3 linked regions of the Ovis aries genome follow. The protein of the gene in region 3 interacts with the protein of the main gene of each other region in a pairwise test. Links are inferred from orthologs where the notes say so. Each region holds a gene or a part of one and is shown on either strand. Other genes may lie near its edges.

Region 1 (3,709 bases), on a different chromosome or scaffold from region 3:
ACGGACAGTTCAGCAAAGGCATGGATCGACAGACTGTGTCCATGGCAATTAACGAGGTCTTCAATGAGCTAATATTAGATGTGCTGAAACAGGTAAGCATCCTGTAACACTGTTTCTCCTCACCTTTAGAATTTGACGTTCCGAATAAAACATTTTTATCCCAAAGATGAGCCTAAGTCACTTATATTTTTATGCTAATTTAGAACAGGAATAAAATTTCTTATTTTCTCAGTCTTGTGTTAGGCGTACATTGTAAATAATTACAGTTAAACACTGGGAAGTTACTGTTTTGAAAGCGCTGTTTAAATGATCACGTTTCTGAACATGGTACTTTCATGTCATGTGTACATCTATACTCACTCATCTGAAAGGTGCCCTGGCACACTCTTCAGTGAAGAAAACGGGTTGTGGACCAGCAGGTGTCTTGTAATCCCTTTCATGCAGTGTGATATGTGTGTGTGGAGCTGTCTGGAGGGATGGGGCCAAAATGTTAGAAGTGATCACTGCTGGGTTGTGAGATTTCTATGAATTTTACTTTATTCTTTTTCTTTTCTTATTATTGGGCTTACTACTATAATGTTTATGTATGTTAACCTCTCTATAGGCTATGTATAATTTTTATGAAATCAGAAAAATATGCTTCCTTTTGGGGAAAAGTGCCCTTATGTAATAAAGTTGTGTTTATCGTATTAGGTTATAAAGTTTGTATTCTCAGTACCTGCATAGCATCTGATAATATTTATGGTATACATATGCTGACATACATAGTCTGTTTAATAAACTTAATGCTTAGTAAATAGAATTTATATATTTTGAATGGGTCTTTCAGATGTCTTACTTTATTATATTGAATAATAACTCTTACTGGTTGGTCCTTGTTTTGCTCTCTTAGGTAATGATGTTGTTTTTCTCTTTTCTTCAGATGTAGCCTATCAATAAACTTTAATTGAGGCTTAATTTGTGTAGGTTTTTGGTGCTGTAAGAGGTTAGGAAACATGGTCTCTGAAGAGGATTTCCAGGCCCATTAGGATGGCAGAATATAGAACTGCAGATGAACGGCAGTATGAGATAGCCTTGGTTTAAATGTCAAGAGCTAGCAAACTGAACGAGTAATGTGATTAGAACTTAATATAATGATCACATGATACAGCCAAAATATTATTATATATTTGATGATGTGTATAGTCTGCCACACGCTATCAGCACCTGTAGATTTACTGTGTAAATCTTGAACAATCCTAAAGTGTTTTGGCCTGTAGTAATGTGTAGTCTTGCTGAAATAAAATTTTGGATCACACATCTTTGAGGCTGACATATGGGAAGAAAATACAAGTCTAGTAAGTGTGAGCTAAAAGCTATACTTAGAAGCCAGGATCCTGACTACTGGTCCAGTTCATCTTCTGCTCCTTTGGAATCCTGAGAGGTCAGGTAGAGAGGTACACTGGTACCAGAGAGTGATTGTCTGAGAAGGCATGCTTGGCCAGGTTTGCTGACACCTTTTAGCATTTTCAATAATGGGTGTAGATTTACTGAGCGGAGAAGGCACTGACGACCCACTCCAGTACTCTTGCCTGGAAACTCCCACGGACAGAGGAGCCTGGTGGGCTGCAGTCCATGGGGTCAGTAAGAGTTGGGCATGACTGAGCGACCTCACTTTCACTTTTCACTTTCATGCATTGGAGAAGGAAATGGCAACCCACTCCAGTGTTCTTGCCTAGAGAATCCCAGGGACGGGGGAGCCTGGTGGGCTGCCGTCTATGGGGTCGCACAGAGTCGGACACGACTGATGTGACTTAGCAGCAGCAGCAGATTTACTGAGAATCACAGTTAGGGTGTGTGTGTTAAAAGGAAGAGGTGTGTGTGGGGGGCCGGGGAAGAGGGGTGTGTGTGTGTGTGTGTGTGTGTGTGTGTGTGTGTGTGTGTGTGTTAAAAGGAAGAGATACCAGCTCTTATAAGGAAAAGCACCAGCATTTATATCAGATTTAATCTTACCTAGGGTTACATGATAAAGAAAGGCCATAGACGGAAAAACTGGACTGAACGCTGGTTTGTATTAAAACCCAACATAATTTCTTATTATGTGAGCGAGGATCTGAAAGATAAGAAAGGAGACATTCTCTTGGATGAGAACTGCTGTGTGGAGGTAAGAGTCAGTGGTTACTTCTTTCCAGTGCTGCCGCCTGCTGTTCAAGTAGTTTATCTTCCTTCTAGACTCTAGAGCTTTAAAAATAATCTTAAAATTCACATTTCTAAAATAATATACACATACAGTAACCATAGTTTCTGAACCAAAAAATTACAGATACCTGACAAAAAATTTTTTTCTAATGTGAATTTATTTTCTGTCTTGTATTTGAGAATAATGTATAGGGATTAAATCTCATTTATTTGTATATTTAAGGAATCATTTCTTGAGTAAAATGGAGTCATAAATAAGAAAACAAAGCCAAAAAAAATCAGTAAGACAGTGTTTGAAATCATGAGTGTGTCTGAGAACCTGGGCCATTTTGGAGTGTAATAAATAAACCAAAAGAACATGTCTTTGAATAATTGGTATGACTTTTCAGAACACTTTATCACTGCTAATTCTGTAAATAGGTGAAATCCTCAAGAACATAATGTTTTGAATTTTTATTTTGTGTCTGAATTATTATCATATCTGTATTTGTTGAAGAACATTTAAAATACCTAAGATCTCATTCATAAATGATAATGTGTCTTGATGGATGAAGTGGTATGTGTTAATATTACGGGTATGCAGTGCCCAGTAAGGGGTCTTCTTAGATTCAGTTAAACATGGAGACTCACAGGATTATGATAGACTGTGCCAGTCTACTTATAAGGATTTAGGACAAGAACCACAGCTTGCTAGCAACAACACCCTGGTGCAAGGAAGGGAGAGACGCATCTGCAGGGTGTGGGAATCACCCTGGGTGTCTATACCTATTGGAACAGTTCCATGGGCATATTTTCCAGGATTCCTGTGAGAGATGTGTTCAGGTATAAGGTGCAATGTACAAGGTTTGCTGTGCTCAGGAAAGGCCATATCATGGCCCATCAAGTGATGTTGGTTCTCCCAGTCTAGATGTCGTATGCTAATCTGGGGTGATTTTTACAACAAGTATTGTTGCCTAGAGGGCAGCATAAATAAATCAGTAACATTCATTTATAGGTACTTCTTGTATAAGTAATTAAGTTTGAATTTAAGTACTTGAAAGTAAAATTTGAAAGACTAATTTTGCTTTCTGTCTTAGCCCTTGCCTGACAAAGATGGAAAGAAATGCCTTTTTCTCATAAAATGTTTCGAGAAGACCTTTGAGATCAGTGCTTCAGATAAGAAGAAGAAACAAGAATGGATTCAGGGTAAGATAATTTTTATTACTTGTCATGATATAACTTGAGAGCACTTTCTGTTTTTCATTGAGAGTCCCTTAGATGGCAGGGAGATCAAACCAGTCAATCCTAAAGGAAATCAACCCTGAATATTCATTGGAAGGACTGGTGCTGAAGCTGAAGCTCCAATATTTTTGTGACTGATGCAAACAGCCAACTCATCGGAAAAGACCTTGATGCTGGGAAAGATTGAGGACAGGAGGAGAAGGGGGCAACAGAGGATGAGATGGTTGGATGGCATCACTGGCTCAATAGACATGAGTTTGAGCAAACTCTGGAATATAGTGAAGGACAGGGATACCTGGCATACTGCAGT
Region 2 (3,488 bases), on a different chromosome or scaffold from region 3:
AATATTATCAATGGATAGTTAGGGAAAAACTGGTTTGTGGCTTCAGCTGGTAGTGGCAGCTTTGGGTGGGGTTTTGTCTTCCTAACAAGACTGTCCGTCGCTCTTCCTCTGATAACAGCTCATGCCCTTATGGCTACAGGGGCGGGCAAGTGACCGGGATCCAGAAAATCACAATTTCCCAGCCCCTTCGATGGGCCTAGCAGGTGGGAACGTGATCCAAGAAAGGCTGGTCAGAATCTTACACATTTAAATACCAGTTGTTGCCTTGCTTCTGCTAAGTTATGGTCCTGGATTTCTAGCCCCAGGAAGGCCTGTGTAGGAGGAGGAAATGAAGCTAGCATGACAAGAGGTGCCAAGTGGATAACCAGAAAGAAAGCGAGGGTGTCCAGTCCCTGGAGCCCTGGCTCCCACTGCTCTTTTTCCAGCAAATCACCTTTTACTGCTAGGGCCAGTTTGAATTGGACACCCATTTCTTATAACTCAAAGTGGTCTCACTTGGCCAACAAGAAGGCAGTTCCTATCCAGCAGGACTTATCACTTTAATATGCTAATGGGTATTGGAAGCCTACAAAGAGTGGTCAAGTGCACAGCATTTCCCAAACTTACTTCACCCAGAACCCTTTTTGCTTTGAGTATCTTGTGAGGCTGGTATTCTGAGAAGCAAACTTCTGCCTTTGTTCCTCCAACTCCAACAGAGGCCAGAGCTTCCCGAGCCTTAGTTCCCACCTTCTTGCCTCAGTGGCCAACTCTATGAACTGTACCAAATCATATGAGCAAGGACTAGCTGCCAGCACTAGCCACACAGTTTGCAGGACTCAGTGCAAAATGAAAAGGCAGGGCCTCTTGTTGGAAAATTTGACTTCCAAGACAGCAATAGTAGGACATGAAAGCAAGCACAGTGCCCTTCTAGGTGTGGGTCCTTGGGCTTCCTCTCCCGTGAAGCTGCCCCTGCCTGCTGCCATCCTGTGCTCAAGTTTGATCTCTAGAAAGCATTTATGTTGCGTCCCCTTGGCTTCCAGACCTCATTTAAATTTCCTTTTCTCTCGGATGTGGGAGGAGAAGGAATAGTGTAGGCACTCACTGGCTGAAGATTTGGTTACTTTGTCTAGAGGTTTTAACTTGATTCTCAGAAAATCGGCCATTTCCTTATCTTCTTCTTGCTCCCTGTGGAGACAGATGTGTAAAGACAGGAAAGAACAGTAAGCCAGGAGAGCATCAAGGAACTAATAAAATGAGGCAAGAGTGTGGGATCACGTATCAGACTTTATGGATGGTGCGTGTATATTGCTGTGTTATATGTGGGTGGTACATATATGCTGATGTGTACTGTGTGTGACTGGTGCACATGTTATGTGCGGATGGCACATGTGAGTTACATGTGGGTGGTATATGTGTGTTATGTTTTGTGTGGGGGTGGTGGGCACATGTTGTTATGTGTGTACAGTGGGTGGGTGGGTGTGTGTTGTTTGATGAATCTATTCTGAAGCAGAAACACATATCAGTGATGGAGTAAATGCCCACGCCCGCTGGTGTGAGACCCTAGGGCAGAGGCAGGGGTGTTAGAGGACCCAGCCTCCCTACCAGAGATTTAGTGAGCTGGGCAATCCCTCTCCTGATCCTGCACCTTTAAGTTACCTTAGACAAAGAATGCAGCAGGTCTCAAAGGCAAGCCACCTCAGCTCTCCCAAGGGTCACCAGAAACAAAGCCAATGGTCCGAGCCTGGCTGAGCTGGGCAAAGTGCATCCTAGCAACCTTGGAGGACTCGGAAGGTCACAGAGAATTAAAGGGAAGTTGTCTTCTGGTTTGCAAGAGACCCGTTGAGCCTCTGCCCTGTGGATGACTCTCAAGATTTTGCTCCAGCACAAAAAAATTCAAGAATCAACACTGGCATCTTTCGTGCCCTCTGGTCCTCTGCAGAGACTTCAGGAGCACTGTGGCTCCAGGGCCCATGGCTGACCAGATCAACAGGGCAGGGGCATCTGCAAACAGGAGACCCCGAAGGCTAGGGAGGGGCATCAGAGGCCCCCAGGAGACAGGAAGGGAGAGAACAGAGCTGGGAAGTGGGGAGGGTGGATGAAGAAGCAAGTTAGGACAGAGGGCAGAGTTTCTGTAGAAACGAATTGAAGTTTCTGGAAAAGGTGCCTTGACGAGTTGGGAGAAAGTTCAGTAAAAAGAAGGTGTAGGAAGCTCTTCCGTGTGCTCTGTGATATAATTCCTCCCTGGTCACCTTCTCAGATGACATTCACTTAAGATCCACAGGCCTTTGCAAAACTTTTTGAAGCTGGATTTAAATTTCTCTTGAATAGGCCGTGGGGGCTTGGGCCAGAAGGATTCATCTGGATCTAGTGTTTGGGAAGCATTGGGCCAGGACACACCCGTTGCAAAGCTGTGAGTCTGGGAGCAGATGACGGGCTTTGGAAGGAAGCTGAGCTGCATTCTAACAGCCCAGCCCTGCCCAGGGGACACACTGCCCACTTACCTTAACCGCTCAACCTCGGCGTCGTCCACCAGGAAGTCTCTCTTCTGCACCAGTTTATGGATCTTCTGGATGAGCTCATCTTCTCTCTGCTTCTGCAACTTAGTTTTTTCTTTTTCTGGGAAGAAGAACACATTAGCAGAGACAGTTTGAGTGTAAATGAGTCCGAAGTGCCAGGGTTGGAATCCTGCCTTGACCATTTAACTTGCTGGATGAACCTGGGAAGGCAACTGGATTAGTTCAAGCTTCTGTTTCCTCCTCTGTAAAATACACAGTAGGCTTGAATGCAAGAATGTAGGGATCTTAGTAAACAACTTGGCACAGAGCTGGCCTGTGGTGGATGCTTGCTAAATGATATTGATGCTGCAAGGGGGTTCTGAAGAAGGACAAGGGGAGAAGGGCACAGGCAGGATGCAGGAGGTGACTTCTCTGTAGTGAGGCTTACCCAACCCGTCAGAGGAAAAGCACCCCTCGCTTTCCCAACCTGTTACAAATACCAAGGGCTAGAGCATCATAGCAGAGACAAAACAACGAGGGCTGGACATGAAGACTGAGACGACCAGGAGGGCAGAAACTTAACCCTGCACTGGCTCCCTCTGCTCAGACCCCCTCAGAAGATAAAACTCAGGGGGCAGCTTGTCCCTCTGCCAGTTCAAAGTGTCACTGACTATTTCCTCTAGATCTGGAGGCAGAACCAGAGACAAGGAGAATATAATATTTAGGTTAGAGAGAAAATCAGTTTCTTTCACTAATCAGAGGGGAGCAAGGAATTGGGATCTAGCAGCCCCTGTATTCCTGCTCATCACTGTGCTGATGATGGTAGTGGGTCCCGAAGTCTGATTCTGCAACTCACTCGTCAGCACCATAGAGCCTCCTTGCCCTCTGCAGGTGGATGAACCACAGTGCCCTTCGACTCAAGGAGTGATGTCACTGTCCTTTCCAAGTTACCAGCAGCAGCCTTCCAATACTCCCCTGTCCTCTGCCAGGCCCCAGATCTTACACCAGAGTCAC
Region 3 (3,709 bases):
TGTATAACTGAATCACTTTACTGAAATATTGTAAATCAACTATACTTCAGTTAAAAAACCAAAACCTAGTGGCCCATGTAGTGGAAGTTCTAGGTGAGAGGAGCAGCCAGGCCGAGTGGGAGGCGGCTGGGTGGGAGTTTGCGCTGAAAGAGAGCAAGTCCCTTCCCACACCCCGAAATCCGGCTCTTCCCTGCACTCTTTCTCTTTTTCTTCTAGGTGAAACGGGAGTTGGCAGCGGTTCTCATTTTTGAGTCTCATGCCAAAGGAGGGACTGTGTGTAAGTGAAGGCTGTAATGGTGTGCGGTGCCTGGCGTGCCCCCTCCTGAGCGTGTGCCCCTGGAGCCTGACTATAAATGCTCCCCTTTCTTAGGCCTGAGACAGACTTGCCAGGATGTCACATGGCGCGTTTGCTTTTCTGGACCCGTGATTATTCCCAGCATGGCTGTGGCTGGTGGGTGTCAGGTACCAGCACGGGAGCACTTACCAGCCAGCATCTCCACTTGCTCCCTCCCCTGCTGGCTCAAGGTCGTGTTTAAAGCGGGTGGGATGAAGTCACACTGTCTTCAGAGCAGAGTGCAAGCAAAACCTTCACACAGTGACCTCACTTCAGTTTTGTGGCTTGGGAAGACCTAATCTGTCTCTTGAGAGGCTACTTAGAATAGCATACTCTCCTGCTTGCTTCTCACGCGTCCACTATCAACTCCAAGCCTGAGAGAATTTCTTTGCCCAGATATTTATGTAGTACTACTATGTAGTGGAGAAGGAAATGGCAACCCACTCCAGTACTCTTGCCTAGAAAATTCCATGGACTGAGAAGCCTGGTAGACCACAGTCCACGGGGTCGCAAAGAGTCGGACAGAACTGAGCAGCTTCACTTCCCTTTCACTATGTAGTATCTCTCCAGTAAGTATGCCGTAGTTTAGTTCTGTGATCATATTTTGGAGCAAGAAATTGAAAGTGAAGGCGTTAAGTCGTTCCGTTGTGTCTGACTCTTTCAGACATGGACTGTAGCCCTCCAGGCTCCTCTGTCCATGGGATTCTCCAGGCAAGAATACTGGAGTGGGTTGCCATGCCCTCCTCCAGGGGATCTTCCTGACCCTGGGAGGGAACCCAGGTCTCCCACATGGCAGGTGGATTCTTTACTGTGTGAGCCCACTGGGGAAGTCAGAAGGCCTCTTAAGAAATTGAAATTTCATATTAATAAATGTGAGCGGAATTATTTTGACTAGCATTTCCCACTCCTCCCTACAAAACCATTCTTGGAAAACATGGTGAGTGGGGTATTCAAGACACGAAACGCCTCCTCTAATTTCTCTTGGAGAATTGTAAGACACACCAGCATGCTCTGTTTCTTGGGAGTTCTACAATAAGGAAAAATTTCACACCACTTAAACTGATACTACCTTAACCTAATGAAACATAGAAAACACTTTTAATGGATACCTGTTAACTTTTCAAGAGACCATCTTTGGAAAATCTTGCTCTTTCTTCAGATTGAGTTGTGTTAGTCAAACAAACAGAGACCATGAACTATAAAAGCAAAGAGAGTTAACATCGATGTTTCAAATATTTACTTTTAGTCCTCAAAAGTGTACATCTAATATCGATAGTTACTTTAATAAGAATGTTTTTTCTTTATGTTTTAAATATTCACATTAACATTTAAAAAATGTTTATATTACTGGTGACTTACAACTTCTTTTGTGCTTTTCCTTCAATCTTTCTGATCATTTTATTATGAAATATTTAAGTATTTCAGATGAATCACTGGAGAGTGTTACAAAACCTTTTTTAAAAACACTTTTATCAAGTATTAACCTGACACTCTATTTTTTCATATTTTCATTTTTTATATTTTCTAAAAAATGAAATCCTACATTTGAAGAGTCTCTGTTTCCTTTATTATCTCATTCTTCTCTTTTCCTCTCCAAGGTAACTCCTACCCTATATCATGTGGTAATCATTCCAACCCATTTAAAAAATATATATATGTAGATATGTATCCATCAACAGTATGTAGTGCTGATTTGCATGTTTTCAGACTTCACACTGGGCTTCTTGGTGGCTCAGTGGTAAAGAATCTGCCTGCTGATACAGGAGACGTGGGTTTGACACCTGGGTCAGGAAGATCCCCTGGAGAAGGAAATGGCAGCCCACTCTAGTATTCTTGCCTGGAAAATTCCATGGATAGAGGAGCCTGGCGGGCTACAGTCCATGGGGTCAGAAAAGAATTGAATACAACTGAGCGACTAAATGATAACAAACTTCATGTTATTGGTCAGATTAGTTTTAAAAACTATGTTCTATAGCTTAGTAAGTTTTGATGAATTGTGGAGGGAAGTGGATTGCTTTAAGGAATGGATTGCTGGAGAATTAATAGTAAACGTATATCTGTAGGACATAGCAAGGAGTACAGTGTTCCTGTTTATTTCATGTTCTGAAGAAAAGGAAGTAATATTCCGCCTGAATAAGTTAGTATTTGCTAGCTTTTTTTTCCCCCCTTCTGGAATTAAATGCATAATTCTGAGGCCTTTAAAATGATGATTTGATAAGCTGTAATTTATATTGATGTGCTTCTATTCTTGTCATGAGTCTTTTTTTCTTTTTGTATCTAGTATTTAACCAAGGGGAAGAAGGCACCTCCTGGTACATTATCCTAAAAGGATCAGTGAATGTAGTCATTTATGGCAAGGTATATATTTTTTTCTTTTGAAACCTTATCATGCTGCATTTACTACTGGCTCTAAGTATTAACAGTGTAATACTATAGTTAAACTTGCTACACCATTGTTACTCAATGTAGAAAAGACATTATGGCCTCTCGAATCATATATTGTCTAAGTTTTTATACTCAGAGTAACACTGAACTTTCTGGGACTCATGGATTATAAAGTAGATATGTAAGTTAGGTCCTAGCACATATTACTCAATGAAAGGAAAATGAAACACTATAATGTAATTCTGTGATCCCCTCCCCCGTGACATCTCTGGGTACAGCCTGTGGATATATATTCAGTATTTTCGGGGCAGGGGGGCTTGTGGTGTGAGGTGGATGGGTGTGTGTCCTGTTCCAGGGATCACCTTCATCTGCATGATTTGTTCTCTCCAGGGTGTGGTCTGTACCCTGCATGAGGGCGATGACTTTGGCAAGTTAGCCCTAGTGAATGATGCCCCGAGAGCTGCCTCCATCGTCTTGAGAGAAGATAACTGCCATTTCTTAAGAGTAGACAAGGAGGATTTCAACCGGATCCTGAGGGTGAGTCTGAGGTGCAGTGTGGCTGAGGGGCTCCCTGTTTCCACTTTGGCCTGATAAGTGAAGGGTTGATGTAGTGTTATTCGAGCAGCGCAGTGACTAATGAATGCTCTAGGGCCAAAGAGCCTTGCTTACAGACCTGGTATGTTCAGTGTGCTGGTGTGGGTTCTGGGGTTCAGAGGTGATATTCTAGTAAAGCTGTAAATATGTCACACTGTTCCGGACCAAATAACCCTGCACACACCTGAACCAGTTCATGAGCATTAAAACACAGAGATGCCTTGGCAAAATATCACAGTCTGAGTCATTTCTCTTTGCTATCCTAGGCTTCCCCTTTTGTGTCTGTCCTCTCCTCCTTCTCCATGTTTCTCTATCCTAAACCTCCTATCTCTTCCCAGATCTGAACCTTATATCCTCTCCCACCCTCTGAATTTATTTAGTAACTACATTTTAGCG

Evidence for each region. The genes of interacting proteins can lie anywhere in the genome.
Region 1: the proteins of RAPGEF4 (region 3) and SWAP70 interact in a two-hybrid assay, tested with the Homo sapiens proteins (2 studies listed by BioGRID and IntAct). The link is inferred for Ovis aries from reciprocal best matches to the Homo sapiens genes RAPGEF4 and SWAP70.
Region 2: the proteins of RAPGEF4 (region 3) and BMERB1 interact in binary tests that used the Homo sapiens proteins (3 or more experiments, as listed by UniProt). The link is inferred for Ovis aries from reciprocal best matches to the Homo sapiens genes RAPGEF4 and BMERB1.

The regions. Positions count from the first base shown.
Region 1 is NC_056068.1:42,644,909-42,648,617, reverse strand, and holds part of SWAP70 (switch-associated protein 70), read left to right. Parts: coding exon 1-92; intron 93-1,996; coding exon 1,997-2,143; intron 2,144-3,254; coding exon 3,255-3,363; intron 3,364-3,709.
Region 2 is NC_056077.1:14,515,428-14,518,915, reverse strand, and holds part of BMERB1 (bMERB domain-containing protein 1), read right to left. Parts: intron 2,596-3,488; coding exon 2,481-2,595; intron 1,165-2,480; coding exon 1,082-1,164; intron 1-1,081.
Region 3 is NC_056055.1:136,921,045-136,924,753, reverse strand, and holds part of RAPGEF4 (rap guanine nucleotide exchange factor 4), read left to right. Parts: intron 1-216; coding exon 217-277; intron 278-2,615; coding exon 2,616-2,692; intron 2,693-3,109; coding exon 3,110-3,256; intron 3,257-3,709.